Caenorhabditis elegans: one gene and its partners. The protein of the gene in region 2 purifies or fractionates together with the protein of the main gene of each other region. This does not show direct contact. Each region holds a gene or a part of one and is shown on either strand. Other genes may lie near its edges.

Evidence for each region.
Region 1: the proteins of rpa-1 (region 2) and Y55F3BR.6 fractionate together in Caenorhabditis elegans (co-fractionation; one large-scale study listed by BioGRID). This does not show direct contact.
Region 3: the proteins of rpa-1 (region 2) and lig-1 fractionate together in Caenorhabditis elegans (co-fractionation; one large-scale study listed by BioGRID). This does not show direct contact.

Annotation. Positions count from the first base shown.
Region 1 is NC_003282.8:836,106-843,836, forward strand, and holds the start of Y55F3BR.6 (SHSP domain-containing protein), read right to left. Parts: upstream 6,014-7,731; coding exon 5,906-6,013; intron 5,796-5,905; coding exon 5,704-5,795; intron 2,385-5,703; coding exon 2,315-2,384; intron 1,369-2,314; coding exon 1,300-1,368; intron 999-1,299; coding exon 831-998; intron 1-830.
Region 2 is NC_003280.10:7,662,944-7,667,652, reverse strand, and holds rpa-1 (putative replication factor A 73 kDa subunit), read right to left. Parts: upstream 3,072-4,709; 5' UTR 3,062-3,071; coding exon 2,978-3,061; intron 2,926-2,977; coding exon 2,872-2,925; intron 2,824-2,871; coding exon 2,742-2,823; intron 2,698-2,741; coding exon 2,592-2,697; intron 2,550-2,591; coding exon 2,305-2,549; intron 2,263-2,304; coding exon 1,961-2,262; intron 1,909-1,960; coding exon 1,813-1,908; intron 1,764-1,812; coding exon 879-1,763; intron 834-878; coding exon 720-833; 3' UTR 543-719; downstream 1-542. Other genes in the region: F18A1.7 (Chondroitin proteoglycan 4 domain-containing protein), read left to right, coding at 3,899-4,016, 4,064-4,366, 4,415-4,682. UniProt on the Caenorhabditis elegans protein: As part of the heterotrimeric replication protein A complex (RPA/RP-A), binds and stabilizes single-stranded DNA intermediates, that form during DNA replication or upon DNA stress.
Region 3 is NC_003283.11:10,812,272-10,817,231, reverse strand, and holds lig-1 (DNA ligase 1), read right to left. Parts: upstream 3,120-4,960; coding exon 3,067-3,119; intron 3,021-3,066; coding exon 2,813-3,020; intron 2,767-2,812; coding exon 2,342-2,766; intron 2,296-2,341; coding exon 933-2,295; intron 882-932; coding exon 609-881; 3' UTR 514-608; downstream 1-513. Other genes in the region: C29A12.1 (uncharacterized protein), read left to right, coding at 3,843-4,061, 4,107-4,231, 4,276-4,472, 4,519-4,682, 4,729-4,788; C29A12.22 (Transposase), read right to left, coding at 4,888-4,960. UniProt on the Caenorhabditis elegans protein: DNA ligase that seals nicks in double-stranded DNA during DNA replication, DNA recombination and DNA repair.

The DNA of each region.
Region 1 (7,731 bases), on a different chromosome or scaffold from region 2:
AAATTGAAATTTTTATTTCAAAAATTTCTAGCACATTTTTTTTTCTTTTTTCCTGAAAAATACGAAATTCCACACCTTTTATTTTGAAATTTTCAAAAAAAAATCGTATTTTTTAAAATTTAATTTGGCGAAAAAACTGAAATTTCACCAAATTTTCAGAAGTTTTTTTTATAGAAAAAATCAGAATTTACGATTTTCTTAAAATACATGTATAATTTTGAAATTTTACAGTTGTAAAAGACTAAATTTTTGAGAAAAATATTGAAGCTGTTTTCAAATGTATTTTTTCAGGAAAAAACACCAAATATTTCCAAAAATTTTAATGTTTCTTTTTCGCATAAAAATTCAATTTTATTTGTTTTTCGTCGAAAAATACAACATCTGTAATTTTTTCAATGCTTTTTATGGAAAATTTTAGTTTCTCCTATAGAAAAAAATTTCCATCAATTGAATCGTTCAATTTCCAGAATTATTTCTTGAAAATTTTGTGGTTTTTGAAAAAAACAATTTTTTTCTGATTCAAGCAAATTTTCCGATTTTTTAAAAAGCAAAATTTGAAAATTAAAAAAAAAACTAAACTCAAAAATTACCAAAATAAAAATATAAAATTCAAAAAAATTACTAGAAACTGTTGAAAATCGAAAATTTTCCCAAAAAACTTTTTTTTCAGATTTAAAATAATCCAGAAATCGTGAGAAAAAGTCAATTTTCAAGGTTTTCTACAGATTGTTTGATTTTTTTTTGAAAATAATAATTTTTCATTCAATTTGTAACATTTTCGTGGTTTGCTTCGAATTTTCCAGATTTTCCGTCTAAAAGCCTGAAAATACCTTTAACGAATCAGCATCATACTTGGAAACGTCCAAAATCGCATGAAAACTAGTATTCGTGACACGAATTGATGTCAGATTTCCATTTTGACTTCCAACAACCGATGGGCTCGAAATTGCAAGATTTGGAAAGTTGGAGAGCATCGAAGAGTGGATATTGCCGAGGTCCTGTGAAGCAAAATTTCATTAAAATTTTTTTCGGTTTATCGGTTTTTTCAAAGTCAAATAATCCTTTAAAAAATGAAAATTAAGAAAAAAACAATATTTTTTAAAAGTTTTTTAAATTAACTGTTTCCCAGAATTTTCATCAAAAATTTGAAACCCGTATTTTTTCCGATTTTAATAAAATAAAATCATTATTTTAAGCCGATAAATACAATTTTAAATTAATTTTTCAAAAATTTCAAATTTTGAAAAAAAAAAGTCAAATTGTATGTCTTTTTTTTTATTTTCGGGAAACATTTTTTACCGGCATTCCTGGAATTGCAGTATGAGTTTGCGTGGTGACACGAACATTTGGAGATCCTTCCTCGATGACCTGCAAAAAAAATTTATACATTTTTGAGGGGAAAATCTGAAAGTTATAGAAAAAATATTTCCATAATTTTCGGAATTTTTGAAAAAATTAAAAAAAAACATTTTCGTTAAAAAAATTCACTTTTTCAAATTTTTTAAAGAACACACTTCAATTTTTTTTAAATAAGAAAATTATGCAAAAAAATCAATTGTTAATGATTTCTTGAGAAAAATTGCAACTTTTGAAGAAAAAAGGTTTGTTTAATCTTTGAAAAATATTTAATTTAACTATAAGAAAAATGTTTTCCAAAAATAAAATAAAAACCTTTTTTTTCAAAAGTTTCTAAATTTTTACTCAATAAATCAATAAAAATTGATATTTTTTTCAAAAAATTTTCAAATTTTCCACTGAAAAGCTTGTAATATTTTTTTTTTTTCAAAAAATTTAAAAATATAAATTTATACATTCAAAAAAAAAATTGCAAAAATCACAGAATTCCTCTGGGAATTTTCAAATTTCAAGAAAATCGGTGTCTGTCACATCTAGCAAAAAAAGGAGTAAAACGAAGACAAAGTGACCAATTTTTTGGCGTTTTTTTCGGAACATTTTAAACGTTTTTCTGCGATTTTTTTTTAGTTAATCCAAAATTTATTCGAAATTAGCCAATTTTCTGAAGAAAAAAAAATCGAATTTTCACAATTTTTAACGTTTTCCCAAACGTTTTTGAACATTTTTCAAAAAAATTATATAATTTTTTCTTAAATTTTTTTTCAATTTCAAGTGATTTTTTCAACAAAAACTGAATTTCCCCTTTTTTTAAATAAAAATTCAATTTTCTGGGTTTTTCTTCGATTTTTCGAGAAAAAATGTACTTCTGTAAAAGTCAATTTTTCTTCAATTTTTGGTTATTTTTTTCCACTTTTTTCTATTTCTCTATTTTCCATCATTTTTTGTTCAAAAAATTCACCTTTTTCTCATAAGTCCGATTGTAGGAGCTTGTAGTGTTGAACGTAGCCATATTATTGCTGCTCCGTGCTCTTAATTTTTCAAATCGTTCAGAAATCTCGGCAAGATCTTTTGTTGGAGTATTTTGGGTGGTAGAAGCCATAGTTTTGGGAGAGTTACTGGGGGTATCAAAATGAGTTGAGTAGGACGAGTTGTGTGCTCTCAGGTGCTCCGCGGAGCTCCACCCATATTTCTTAAGCGAGATAAGAAAAAAAAAATGAAAAAAAAAGTCGTTAAAAATGTCAAAACATCTGCATTTTTCCGCGGATTTTTTAGGATAAAGTTCACATAAATCTATGTAAATTTTAAAATTTTCCCCAATTTTTCACCAGATTTTTCCCACTTTTTTCAATGTGCTCTCGGAGCAACCCCCGATCAGTTGGAGAACGACACGAGATATCTCATCTCCCCCTTGCTACGACATATGTATACACTAAAACTCCCACACGAGATTGGGGGGAGAGAGAACGGGGAAGTGTGATGAATCAGATGGGATGAAGCTATCATCGAGAAGAGATTTTTGGTAGGTATATTGATTGAGGAGGAAAAAATTTGTGGAAAAATTCGAGAAAATAGCTAGAAATTAACTTCAGGAAATAGATTTTGCTGCAAAACTACAATTGAACTTTTAAAGGTGGAGTACCAAAATTTGAAAAAAAATTGTTTTTTTTTTACCAAAAATGGTCCAAAACTACCAAATTTCGTAATGTACGTTCTGAGAATGCCTCAAAAAAAAGTTATGGCAGCAGCTCAAATTTTTGGAAAAAGTAGTCAATTTTTAGCTAAAATCTCAAATTTTGGCAATTTTTCAGCGCTCATTTTTTGGTGTAATTTTTGAAAAATTTCCACAAAAACACTTTTAATTTAAATTTTATAATTTATTCCCCAAATCCCTATAAGTATATTCTAAAAGCCGATTAAAATTGAAATTCTGAAAATTGCACAAAAAAATGTGCAAAATCACAATTTGCGGAAAATTTTCGGCAATCCCCGTTTTTCCGGCGAATTCGGCAAATCAGCGCTTTTCTAATTTGCCGGAAATTTTCAATTCCGGCAATTTACCGATTTGCCGGAAATTTTAAATTCCGGCAATTTACCGATCTGCCGGAAATTTTCAATTGCGACCATTTTGCCGGCAAATTCGGAATATCGGCAATTTGCCTGCTTGTCGATTTGACGGAAATTTTCAATTCCGGCAATTTTCCGATTTGCCGGAAATTTTCAATTCTGACAATTTACCGATTTGCCGGAAATTTTAAATTCCGGCAATTTACCGATCTGCCGGAAATTTTCAATTCCGACAATTTGCCGGCAAATTCGGAATATCGGCAATTTGCCTGCTTGTCGATTTGACGGAAATTTTCAATTCCGGCAATTTTCCGATTTCCCGGAATTTTTATTTTTGACCGAAAATTTTCCCTATTTCCCCCAAATTTTGCTCTCAGAGCACAAAAATTCCTTAAATAAACCACAAAAAGGGTGTTAAGAACATCAGATCAAAGGGAAACAGGCAACATTTACCGCCGACGTACGTAACATAATACCTCCCCAAATTTCTTATCACTCTTATTTTTCTAGAACATTTCAAAATGGTCAGAAATTTGTGAAATTCTTGATTTTCAAGAGGAAAAAACGGGGAAAAGTGTGTTGGCGGGGTGGAAAAATGTGATGATGTGATGAAATAATACGATTAAAATGCAAATTTTTATTCGGAAAAATTGGTTTACAGGGGGGAAAATGGGGGAGAAATGTGCGGAAAATCGACTTTCATCTCAAATGAAAAACTGACTTAGAAATGGAAAAATGTCAGATTTTTCGACATTTTTTTCCAGGAAAAACCACTTTTCACACGTTTTTAAAGTGAATTTCCCGAAATTTTGAAGAGAAAATCGGAATTTCTGGAAAGTTTTCCAGAAAAGCCCGATTTTTCGTCAATTTTCTCCAGGAAAAACCAAACGTAACGTGAAATTCCTCGAAATATTGAAGAAAATCCGAATTCCAGACAATTTTCTGGTGAAAAAAAACGAGAAACTCGTAATTTATCAGACAAATTACTTGAAAATGTCAGAAAATTTTATTTCTCGTCAATTTTTTTCGGAAAATCTACTTTTAACACGTGTTTAAAGTGAAATTCCCGAAATTTTGAAGAAAAAATCGGAATTTCTTGAAAGATTTCCAGAGAATCCCAATTTTCGTCATTTTTCTACAGGAAAACTACTCTTAATAGGTTTTAAAAGTGAAATTCCTCGAAATGTTGAAGAAAATCCAACTTCAGACAATTTTTCGGCGAGCCATTAATCATCGGAATTTTTGAAGAAATTGCCAGAAAATCGCATTTTTGGTCAATTTTCTTCAGGAAAAACTGCTTTTATTAAGGTAAAAACTGATCATCAGGCCAATTTTTAAGGGAAAATTGGGAAAAATGATAAATTTTCCAATTTTCAGACGAATTTTTAGGATTTTGCGTAAAAACACGAAGAAAAATGTAGTTTGTGCCAATTTTCAAGAAAAATGCCAAGAAAAAGGTGTCGAAAAGAGAATTGTTGGTCCTCCAAGCTGTGTTGTTGTTTCTTCTTTTCAAAAACTTGCTTCTTTTTGTGCTCCATTTTGTCCCATTGAGCACCGCCCGTCTGCTCTCACAGCAGGTGGTTCCCGTGGAGGAGGCGTAGGCGTAAGGCTCATCAGCTGGTTGAGTTGGGTTCCAGTAAAAAATTCCAGAAAAAATTGGGAAATTTTGGAAGAAAAACAAGGTATTCTGATCAGAAATCCTTAAAAATAGTTAAAACTCCAAATTTTATAGGAAATAGCTATTTTTACAATAAAAATTCACTTTTTATCGGTAGTAATGGATGTTTTCATCGTTTTTCCACTGAAAAATCTGGGAAATTTCAATTTTGCAAGAAAATTCCTCGAAAAATCGGGCTTTCAGTGATTTCTAAGCTGAAAATCCACGTTTTTCGATTTAAAAATCCGATTTTCCAGCATTTCGAGTGTTTTCGCCGCGTTTTCACTGAAAAATCCAAGAAGTCCACATTTTGAGAGACAAAGTCTAAAGAACTCAGTTTACAAGGAAAACTCACCAAAAAATCCGCTTTTTCATAGTAAAAACGACTAAAAATCGGGGTTTAATGCCAAAAGTCCACAGTTTAGTTGGAAATCTGTGAGAAATACGGAAATCCGACAATTTTTTAACCAGAATATGCGAAATAAGTCAGAAAACAGTACAAAAAAGGGTGGAAAAAGCTGTGGAAACGTGAAAAAAACGCAATTAAAACCAATTTTACGCCTGAAAATCGGTCAAAAAGTGTATTTTTCCGGAAATTTTTTATTTTTCAACTTTTTCGCAGCTACCTGTCATCTCCAGAGGATCTCATCGGAGTTCTCAATCCATCCAGGCCAGCAGTGTTGATAGAGTTGCTGGAGCTTCCGACAGCCGTGCGGAACTGAAAACTTTCAGGTTTTTAGGGAAATTTCAGTGAAAATGGGGTTTCCCACAATTTTAGAGTTGATTTCTATTGTTTTTCCGATCAATTTAACCCGAAAATCCACGAACCGTCGACGAATAGATCGGAGAATAGACGGGCAGTTCCTCGATCGGACTTTTCGACGGAAGGCCGTTGGAACGGGTGGTAACACGGGTGTAGGAGTATGTCTTGCTCATTTTTTAATCTGAAATTCAATATTATAACTTAGAATCATAAAAAAATCTTTGAAAAATTGCTAAAAATCGCTGGAAACTGTGAAAAATAAAAATAATACGTAGATGTCGTAAGATAAGATGCACGGTGTGCAAACACCGTCGCGCGAAAATGCACAGTCTCAAATACGCGCGAGATTTGAATTTTGTTTTTGGTTGATTTTTTAACATTTTCAAACTTCAAGATTGCTCCGTTATTCTCAACATCGCAGATCAGATTTATTTACTTAAAACGGAATAACAAAAGCTATAATCTATAAATTCAATCCCCATCGTTTTCATTCAATTTCATCTTGAAATTCCTGTCCAAAAAGTGTTAATTGGTTATTGGCGGGTGGCTTGAAAGAAACAACAACCACTTAAAAAGTTAATCGAGTCAGTGGAGAGAATCTAGAGGCGCAGAGGAGAACTTCATGTTTTGAATCTTATACAGTCACTTTTGATGATAATTTAGTACTTACCTCTATTTTTCATATTTTTAGATGTTCTTTTTTGTTAGTTTGTTCTTTTGAATTCCAAAATCTATAATTCTCAAATCGATTCTTTGAATAATAATATCAATGAAAAACACCTGAAAACTATATTTTTCCCATTCCCCTCACTCTCCTGCTCACACAAGCCTTATCTTCTCCCTTCCGACCTCCCGACGCCGGATCCCATGTGGTCTAGTGGTTAGGATTCGTGGTTTTCACCCACGCGGCCCGGGTTCGATTCCCGGCATGGGAAGTTTCTTTTTTGTCCGCTGCGCACGCAACTGGAAAGTACAACGCTCAAGAATTACCTTCCACGTCAGTAGGCATACAACTTGTACACATAATTGGCGTTATTTATGATTATTATTACTTTTTCTATTATATGATTTGTCGTCGGGATGTGTGTATTTTCATAAAATCCCTGTATTGACTCATCGCTGTTTTCCTCTTTTGCTTGAAAAAATTTTGAAAACTTGGTATTTGCCGAAAACCTTTCAACTAATTGCCTATGCTTAGGTGACGACATACACTACTAAACGGTGTATAAGTAGTATAAAAGAATAGTGTTTGGGTTTTGATATTTTCTTCGGAATCAAATGTTTCATATTTTTAATTCTTTATATGTGATCTACCAAAAAAAAAAGTTATTTTTCTCAGAAAGTAGTGTATAATTAGGAGGTGTATATGGTTTGTGAATATATAATTAGATTCTATTTTCAATTTTTTTTATTCTGAGAAATTCTTGAATGTTTGACTGGAATTTCCAAAAGTCTAGTCTAGTTGAGGTTTTTTTTTGCGAATTTGAAATTTTTTAAACTTGAATTTTCGGTATTGAACCTCATTTTGGCATTTATAACAAAAAATTCAAATTTTTGTGAAAAAAAAAACAAAATCTAATTTTTTTAAATAAAAGTTTTTCAGAATTCTTCAGGAGTGTTTCAATAAATCAGTGACCTAGTTTTTGCTCTCCTCCGTTCTAGGGCCATAAATGGTAGGCAGACGCGGTTTAGGGCCTCACGCCTGCCTGAAATCTACCCGCCTTCGCCTGCATTTTGGCTTAAGTTTTCAAATTTGGTTGGGTAGAGTCAATTTTTTTTTTGCTTTAAATGACGGAAAATAGGCCGAATATAACCAGTGAAAAAACTTTTTTTTAATCTAATTTTTTTATGATTTTTTCAATTTTTCAAAAATCGAAGAAATGGCCGTATT
Region 2 (4,709 bases):
GTGTGCTCTCCCAGACACTCCATAAGGTCAGCTGCATAACCCTAAATTGCATCGACAAATCTTAACAACTGCAACAGAAAAGCTACACTCAAAATATAAGACGGAAATTTTCTTTCAGCACGGCTTAGTTTGGACGAACAATTTGAAAGGAGTGTTCAAATTGCAACTGTTTGGAAACATAATAAAATCATTACGGAATTTATTTTTTTGGAAAATCAAAACAGGTGATAAAAGACGTTTCTGTAAATGAAAGTCACTAGTCTTTTCCACTAATCCGCCAATGTCTTTCATGGAAAATAAGACAAAAAAAAAGACAGCGTTAGAGAGAAATAGACGAAGAGAGCTCAAAGAGCTCGCTGGCTGCCCACGAACCTGCGGGTTAGCAATGGAAAATGTGGTCGTGGGCAGAGAGACGTAGGATAAATGTGGCAACCCAAGGCCATTTGTTGTCGGGCAGTCACCCGCTCTCAAGGACGCTGCAACGACCCAATGCTGTCACTTCAGAACACATCTCGAGGTCACCTGGCACTCAAAGATAGGCTCACATCGTATAGTTTATTCGCTAGTAAATGAGATGAAAAACATTGTACAAAATCAGCGATTGTGGATGTGAGACATGTGATAACTTTAGGCTCAAAAAAGGTTTTAATAATATTTAGGTTTTTTTAGATTTAAATGAAACAGTCGAGATCGGCACGATGTAATAAAAAACAGAACATTTAGTAGTCACTCATTTGTTGCATCTGCTCGATCATTTGCTTCAGATTTTCGATGTACTTGTCCTGATTGACATCATCCACACCATAGACAGTCATCTTCTGACGAACTTCTTCCTATAAAGAAAACAATCATAACGGATCTTCAAGAAATAAAGCTACATTGTACGAATCCATCTTGCAACGAAGTCTCCACATCTTTGGAACAAACTGAAGGCGTTCGAAAATAGCGTTGTACTCATCTGGGCTTTCATCGTGCAATTCTCCAAGCTCCGCAGCTGATTTTCCAACAATCTTCGCAGCACTATCTCCGAAAGCTGTGACATAGACCTGTCCGGTTTCGTCCGAAAGTTCAAACTGCATCATGTACAGCCACTTGAACTTGTTCATGTTCTTATTGCACTTTTCGCATCTGTAGTCACCATTTTCTCCCACAAGTTTCTTTTGGCAACCCTCTGAAGCGCATCCTCTATAAAGAGCATTCGTAGGATTTACTCTGGTAATCATTGCTTTGACAGTTGCGTAATCTCCCTTGTCGGAATCCTTTCCAAATTGCATTTCTTGGAGTCCTGCAATAGTACGTGGAGCTTCATTGGATCCTCCAGCAGCTTGGCTCATCATCTTAACTTCAGTGGTTGGTTTCACGTTTGCGTACCAATCATAGAGTTCAGACACTCCAGCGATTTCTGGCACCGAAATAATACGAGTTGCTGACCCAGTTCCCAAAGAGAATCCTCCATTAAACTCTCTTGGAATAACACCTTTGAATGCGATTACTTTTTGAACATAGTCATCAACAAGTGCTTTTGTTGCTTCGTCTCCCCAAAGTGTCAATCGAACAAGTGCTCCAGACTCGTCAATCAACTCCATTTCTCGCTTGATCAGAGATTTTCCAGCCTTTGAAGTGAATTCGGTAGCCTCTGGATCCATCTTTTCAACCACGACGAGAACGTCAATCAGTTGTCCAGCATATCCAGCGATTTCACCTAGCTTCACTCGTTTGAGTATGAGCTTTGGAGCAGCAAGCAATTCACCTCCAGCTTCAATCTGAAAATTTAATATTTTAGCTATGATGAATCGCTTTAAATTTACTAACGATAGAATCGCTGCGAAGTGTGATCTCGTAGTCGTGTCCAGTATTGTTGAACTTCTTATTTGCTTGTTTGACTGATCCACCAGACAAATAATAAGACTGAAAATATTAAATTAATTATTATGCATAATCCGATTAAAATAATACTAACAAGATTCTCGGTGATTGTGGTGTACAAGGACTCAGCAACCTCGTTGAATGCGGTACATCTGATTGTATCTCCGTTTGAATCGGTTATTTCAAAGTTGAACACTTTCGTGTTTTTCGCTGGGAAAGTACGAATTTCCTCCTTGCGTGATACCATTCCGTGAATTTTGAAATTCGATACGTACGGTGTAACCATTGCAATAGGCATCACGCCTCTTTCTGTGTTCGACGCGGTACGGCGTGCTGGTGGTGGAACAGCTCGAGCGCGTGTAGCCTCTGGAGCAGCGGCACGATTGTATGAGGCTTCTGAAAACTCGAATTACACACATTACAACTCTTAGATTTTACCTTCTCCGAATTCTCTTTTCGGCGCTTTTGCTGCTGGTGGATTTGCCATATTCTCCTGGTAATCAGCAGCCATTCCTTCAGCTTCAGGCCAAACATCTTCGATGATAATATTTGGTCTATAGCCTTTGTGCTCATCAGGTTTGCCAGAATGAGATCTTGGCTTGACTTCTGGAGAGGTCAAAACCTGATGATAGCGAGAAAGAATTTTGTATCCTTTGATCAGGAAGCAATTCTTAGCACCTTCTCTGAAAAATACATTGAAGGACTCAATAATGTTATAATCTCACCCTTGGTCGTAGATTTCAAATTTAGTAAGAGCGATAATTGTTCCCTCAACAAGATGCTCAACTTCACGTTTGATTTGGTCATCGATATCAGCGGACATGAGCGCATCTTCAAAGCATAAATAAATATCAGAGTATAACAAACTCACTTACTGTATTGGAAAACACCGTCTGAGATACGAATTCTGAAAGTGAATGCGTGACCAAGTTGCTCTCCTTGCTCTACTTTGCCTTTCTGAAAATTATCGAATTATTGCGAAACTTTTGAATTAGTCAAAAGTACCAAAACTTGAACGATTCCATCATGTCCAGGATATCCATTGTTTTCGATAGCCTCCTGAAAATTCATCAAAATTAAATTTCCTGGTTTTCTACATTGATTTCTTTACCTGAACATAGCCTGTTGTAAGTCGAAGTTTCCCGTTAGTATGATACTTATTGAAGACATCGTGATTGATGTGAATTGCCGCCATCTTTCACTATCTGAAACAGATACATAAAAATTGGGGAAAAAAGCTTGAAACATGAAGAAACAAATGAAGGGGAGACGATTCAATTTTGAATTCTCTACAGGCCGGATACGCGCCAAAAAAAATGGCGTAGAATGTGATGTTTGCGGGAAATGTGTGCCGAAAAGCGGGAATTTCTGTTAGTCAAAGAAAATCGAGCACAACTTGAATTAAAATATGAGAAAACAAATAAATATTAAAAAAAGGAATTGAGAAGTTTTAAAGATTACAATAATAATTGTTGAAATTTTGATGAAGGTTTTACATCGGCCAAAATCGCATGAATCGAAATTATGGCAGCGCAATATTGGAAGAGGGTTAAAATACTGAACAAAAACATTCTAAAAGTCAATACTTCGTCCAAACATGAAGATTTTCTGCAGGTTCTCAACAAAGCAATTCACATTTGAAAAAGAAAAAAATGAATGGCTCGGACCACCTGCGTAAATCTTGCCGGGTACGGTATTCGCTTCGAGACCTCCATCAAAACCGTAGTTTGGAAATTGTTTTTTCCCGCCGATCTAACTTTTCTATTGACGCGCTAAATTTTGAAATCAGAAAAGTCGCATAAAGAATTCGGATTTTGTTTTATTTTCATTTGTCAGTTTTGATAAATTTTCATTTTATAAATTATGTAAAGTTTCGGCTATATCAGTTACCCACTTCATTTCTACCTAGCTGTTCTTTTCCTTATATGACCTTCTTGAAAGCTTATAAAAGTTTTCGAAAGCTTTTAGACCACTTTCAAACTGCTTAATATCTAACCCCCATTTCGGAAAAAAAACTTCTACATAATTCCAGATGCGCCATCTCCATCTCGCCTTCTTCCTTCCCGCCATCTTTCTGTTCTTCTCGTGTGTAAATGGTGCCATCGAATCGGTACACGACGACAAAGATGTCGTGCCACACGAAGAACAAGGTAAAAAACTAGATTATTGTGTGCTTAAGATTAAAGTTTCACTTCAGCCCTCGACGTCGACACAATTTTCCGCGCTCTTGGAGTTCCATATTGCATGCGAAAGTGCATCGACCCGTTCATCAATTCTACGACGTCTCTGTGGAACATGAAGAATGTTGTACATCAAGCTCGCAAAGTCTGTGGTCATCATGCACAGGCTATCACTTGTCTGAAGAAAGAACAGTACTGTGATCACAACAAGCTCTTCGCAAAAGCCAGCAGCAGTGTTGAATATATGTGTGCCACAAAGCACGTTCTGTTTGAGCGAATGGAGTCGTGTCTCAACCCTGTCGTTGATGATATCATGTCAGGTAATTTTTTTTCTGAAAAATTGCCCACCATCAAAAAATCGTTTTCAGGCTGCGACAAAGAATGCTATGCTCGTTCAAACCTAACTGCTTTCGCTCAAGATTCTAACATTAAATTCGCTGCTACAGTTGGAGGTAATGTATTTATTGTTGCTGATCATCTTGGAGAACTTTGTAACTCTCTGCAATGTACTCTCCCATGTGTCACCAAGCGACTCAACAGCAAGTGTGCCTTGAGTGGATGGCTTAGTCTGGACATGCTTATGCAACCATTCGATGCCGTTTCTGTAATGGTTGATCAATTGTCACCAGCATTGAGGTTAGTTAGTGCGATCATTATTAAATA
Region 3 (4,960 bases), on a different chromosome or scaffold from region 2:
TGAGAAGGATACCTGTTACGATTCTTTCCCGATACGCTTTTTTGGATAGTAGCGGATTCATGGAATGACGTGACAAATTCACCTAGATTTGTTCAAAGTTTTAATTATTGCTTCAAAGTTTTAATTCTAAATAAACTTTTTGTTTGAAACTTAAGAATATTAATTGAATTGGTTTGAGGCATCAGAATGTCTTATGCTTTCTGCTCTCCCGTATTGAACTGCAAATCGAATTTTGCGGATGCGCACTACGTAAGTCAACGACACAACAGAAGAATGCACGAAGGAGAGAAGATGATTCAGGAGTACACAGACGTGGTAGAATGTAGATATACATTTGTCTTTTTAGTAAAGTTTTACTATGTGTTTGTTTCTAGGTATCTAGGTCAGCGTCTATCTCTTTCCTAAATAGAAGACTCAAAATCCAAAGTTCTGAATAAATCAGTTGAAAGTACAACACATTCGCACACATGAATGAGTTGTTTAAAATGACCGGCCGTGAACAAAAGAAAAAGTCGATGTGAGGTATTTACTTAGAAAATTAGGAAACATAGTACAAAAAGTAAATCATTGAATATGCAGAAATGTATCTCAGTATTAGTTGCTTGGCATTAGTCGGAATCGGAATCAATTGCAACGCGAGACCTCTTCTTTGCTGGCTGTTTCTTATTAGTTGAGGTTTCTTCATCAGACTCGTCAGAATCAGAAGGCAGCTTCTTCTTTCTGATCGGAGATGGAGATTCCACTTTAACGTCTTTTTCATTCTTCTTTGTCGATGATGAAAAGATGCTAGCAACTGGTCCTTTCTTTTTCTCTGCTTCTTTCTTTATTGGTGAACTTTTCACGGGCGATTTGTTAACTGGTGAAGATTTTACAGGCGGTTTCTGGAAATAATATATATAATTAGCGATAATGGTAATTTCAAAAACTAAAACCTTTTCGAATTTTTTCGGGGATACTGATTTAGGAGTCTCTTTCTTGATCTCCTCTTTCACTGGATTTTCTTTAGAACTTCCTTCAGATACATTGGTCATGTTCAACTCCTCCTCTTCATCTTCTTTTTCTTCAAATTCGTCATCCTCATCAACTGCATCCGCCTTTTCGATCTTCTGGTTGGCAAAAGCTTCTTGGTTTTTGTACATTTCAAGAACTTGCTCCGAAGATGTTGCATCGTCGGAATTTTTATCGTCCCGAATACGCAGGAAACGAGGAAATCTCAAAGAGATTCCTTTTCCATCATCCGTCAATCCACTTGCAGCTTTGTGACGCGGAGATATAGTAATATCGGCACATTTGACTTCGAAAACAAGATACGGAGAAAAAGTGTCATCTGGTTTAAGAGTGTGATCAAATTGATAATAAGAAGGAGATTTGTCAATTTTCTTGTCTTGTAGGATCTTGTATTGCTCGGCCAAATCTTCATCAGTGAAACCAGTTCCAATCTTGCATACACTTTCGTACTCTTCTGTAGTAGGATTGTAACATCCGAGAAGATATCCTCCATACACTCCAGTTCTCTTTCCAACTCCAGAATAAGCACCCATGACGACAAGATCCAACGTATCTCCTACTCCATCAACGTAATCTTTCTTCATTTTCAACCAGCTGTGGGAACGTCTTGAAATCTCATAAGTAGCTTCAGTGTCGAGAGTTTTGATCATGAGTCCTTCGCATTTATTTTGAACGGCTTCATCGAAGAAAGAGTTGATTTCATCAGTATCATTTGTATCTACGGAAGTTGCAAAATAGAAGCTTCCATCAATCTTTTTGAAGTTTGTTCGAAGAAGTTCTCTTCTTTTTCGGAGTGGTTTTCTCACGAGAGGCTCCCCATTGAAGTAGAGAAGATCGAAAAGAAAAACTACAACCTTGACTCCGTTATCATCAGTTGCATTTTTCCTTTTACGAGTCGACAAAACTTGGAACGGAAGAATTAAGCCAGCCTCATCGATAGCTACAACTTCAGCATCGACAATAAATGAAGTTACCCCATCCCCGATGCAGGATGAAATTTTTTCGATAATATCGGGGTACTTGGTAGTGTTGTTCTCTTGGTTTCGACTGTAGATGAAAATTTGCCCGTCTTCTCGTTTATGAATCTGGCCGCGTTCTCCGTCATATTTCCATTCACAGGTCATTGTCTGATTTCTGAATCGTCGCATAATTTCATCAATTCCCTTTGTAGGGTGAGCCAGCATAGGTTTCAGTGGAATTCCGGGTGAAAGTTTACATTTTTCGACAAGAGCTTCCACACCTTCAGTCAGTGCAACTTCGATCAGACGATTGTAGTTAGGGCATTCGCTGAAAATTAATTAGATGAATAATTTAATAAAGAAACAATTATTACCAATAGGCGGTCTTTACTCGCTTAACATTTGCATCTTTCAGAGAATCGAGTTTGTCACCACGAACCTTTTGATCAGTTATTTTCGAAAGAGTGAATGCATGTCCAAGTGCTGATAGAACACTTTGTTCACCGAGACCGATTCTCATTTTGCCGGCGAGCATTCGGACGAGGAATCGAGCCTCAATTCCTTGACATGCAATGAGGAGTGCACTAATGGCATCAACTTTCTTGTTCATAGCTGAAGTGCCACTGAGCTTTGCAATTTCGGTTAACTTGTTGAAAACAGTTGGAACAGTTAATGCTTTTGGAACAGCAAGCATTTTCTGATTGGATCTTGACTGTTGTGCGACAGTCCCAAGATCTCCTTTCGCGCGAAGATCTTCTTTAATTTTTCCCTCTGTACGTCCGGTCGCTTTAGCAACAGCCTTAAATTTTCTTTATAATTTAATATAGATTCAGTGGAATGCAAACCTTGATCAGCGAATTTTCAGCAACTCCAAGCTCGAGCCCTTCATACGATGGCCCGAGCTGATTAACTGACATGTACACGCACGCTGTTAAATCGTCGGGTGAAAAGTCCAGAACTTTGGTGAAAAATTGAGCCAATTCATCCACTTTCTTTTTTCCCGATAACTCTTCGATTTTCTCAAGGGTGAGAGCAAACTCCTTGTAAGGGACTCTGAAAATTTAGAAATAAAAAACAGTATGTTCCACAAAAAACTTACTTTGAACCCTTTGCCCATTCAACAGCGGCTTTGCCAGCTTTTGAGAAAAACATCTGAAACGATGAAGATGTGAAATTTACATTATTCGAGAAGAAAAGGTTTCGAAGATGAATAATTAATACGTGAAGGGATACAACGTAAAATACTTGGCAGTGTGCAAAATCAAGAGAATATCGAGCAAGTATTAAAAATAAAGTTGTATTAATCGAACCAGAAAACGATACATTTTGAACGGCGCGCGCACCAGATGCATTAGAGCACGATTGCGCGCACATGAGAGAGTGTGGAGACTAAGAGACATAGACAGTTAAAAACCGGCAAATCGTAAATGCTTCTTTCCTTGTGATTAAAGTCGACGTTATTAAAAATAGAAAAATGGGACATTGAAAATACCATCGTCTATTTGCTTTTTAAAAGATAGTGAGAGACCTATAATTAATAAAAAAAAGAATATTTAGACAACACATTTGAACCTACCAAAAGAAAAGTTCATTGCTACCGTACTCCAATGCCTGCACATCAAAAATACCGACTTTCAGCACGTCGCGGAAAATAACGGCATTCAGTTTCTTTCACGTGTTTTCAGCTCGACCATTCGGTGTAATTTGTGCAAACACCGTCACGCGCAAATGCAGACATTTTTGCACGCGCTGCGGTGAAATTCCTCTTGGCGAATTCAAATATTTTTTCCCGCCTTTTTTGAAAATTTTCGAGGCGTTAGTCGAGCTGAATACACGTGTCTTTCATCGATGTTCATTTTCTAACACTGTTTCAGAATGTCCCTGTCACAGAAAAAGGACCTTCTCGATGAACTACATAATGAGGCTGCAAAATGGTTGGCAGTCCTTCTCGATTTGTGTAAAAATGTAAAGGCGCCAGAGAACCAGCGAAACCTAGTCGCCTGGGCACAGAAGTGGATGGATGGGGCCGGAACACTCACTGACGAGCTTGAAGATTTTTCCATACGTGTTCACGTGGCAGAAACTGTGTCGGAGGTATAGACGAGAATGTGTTTAACAAACATTTGTTTCCTTTTTCAGATCAATCCTGCCGACAATGCTCCAGTTATGGAATGCCTTGTTGATGTCGTCAATGCAATAAATTCCATCACACAAAATATGTACAAAATTGTCAATAACGACCAGAACAAGCGATTGTTCATCGCGTAAGTTCAAAAAGTAAATAATTGGATTAAAAATATCATTTCAGAAAGTCAAATGCTCAAAGAAAGCATGCAAAGTTATTGAATGAGAAGGAAATTGTTATGAGACGACTGGAGCAATTGAAGAAAGAGCAGCTGAAGAAAACAATGGAATCCGAAAAAAAACTGAGAGATCTTCAAGCTGAAAATATCCGGCGAGATTTTCAAGAGCAGGCTCGTTCACAAGCTATGAGAGATCACGAAGGTATGAATTTCAGGTTGATTGATTTAATATTTATAAACTGTTTCAGTTTACCTTGCTTATGCGGAAGCCATTAATTCTGTAAACGTTACACCTCATTTCGAACATTTTGAGACCCCTGCGGAAGACATTTCTACACCCTTTGAATCGCCCAATCTTCCGAGAAAACGTCGCTCTCGCAGCCTTGGCCGGAAAGTTTTGGGATCTGTCAAGGTATAAAAATGGATTCCGATTTATTTTCATTCCTATTTAATTTTAGAAAACAATCCGCAGAAGCGTATCAGCTATTCACGACTACATCGATCATCATCACAAATAAGACGCCTAAATTTATTTCTTACAGATGATAACTCTATATTGTTCATTTCATAGCTTTTATATAAGTCGTTTTTCATGTACCATAAATATATTCACAATATCAATTCACATATTTATCAGTTTCCTGAACGAGAGCCCTGAACAATATGGCGATTATCAATCCGAGCACTAAA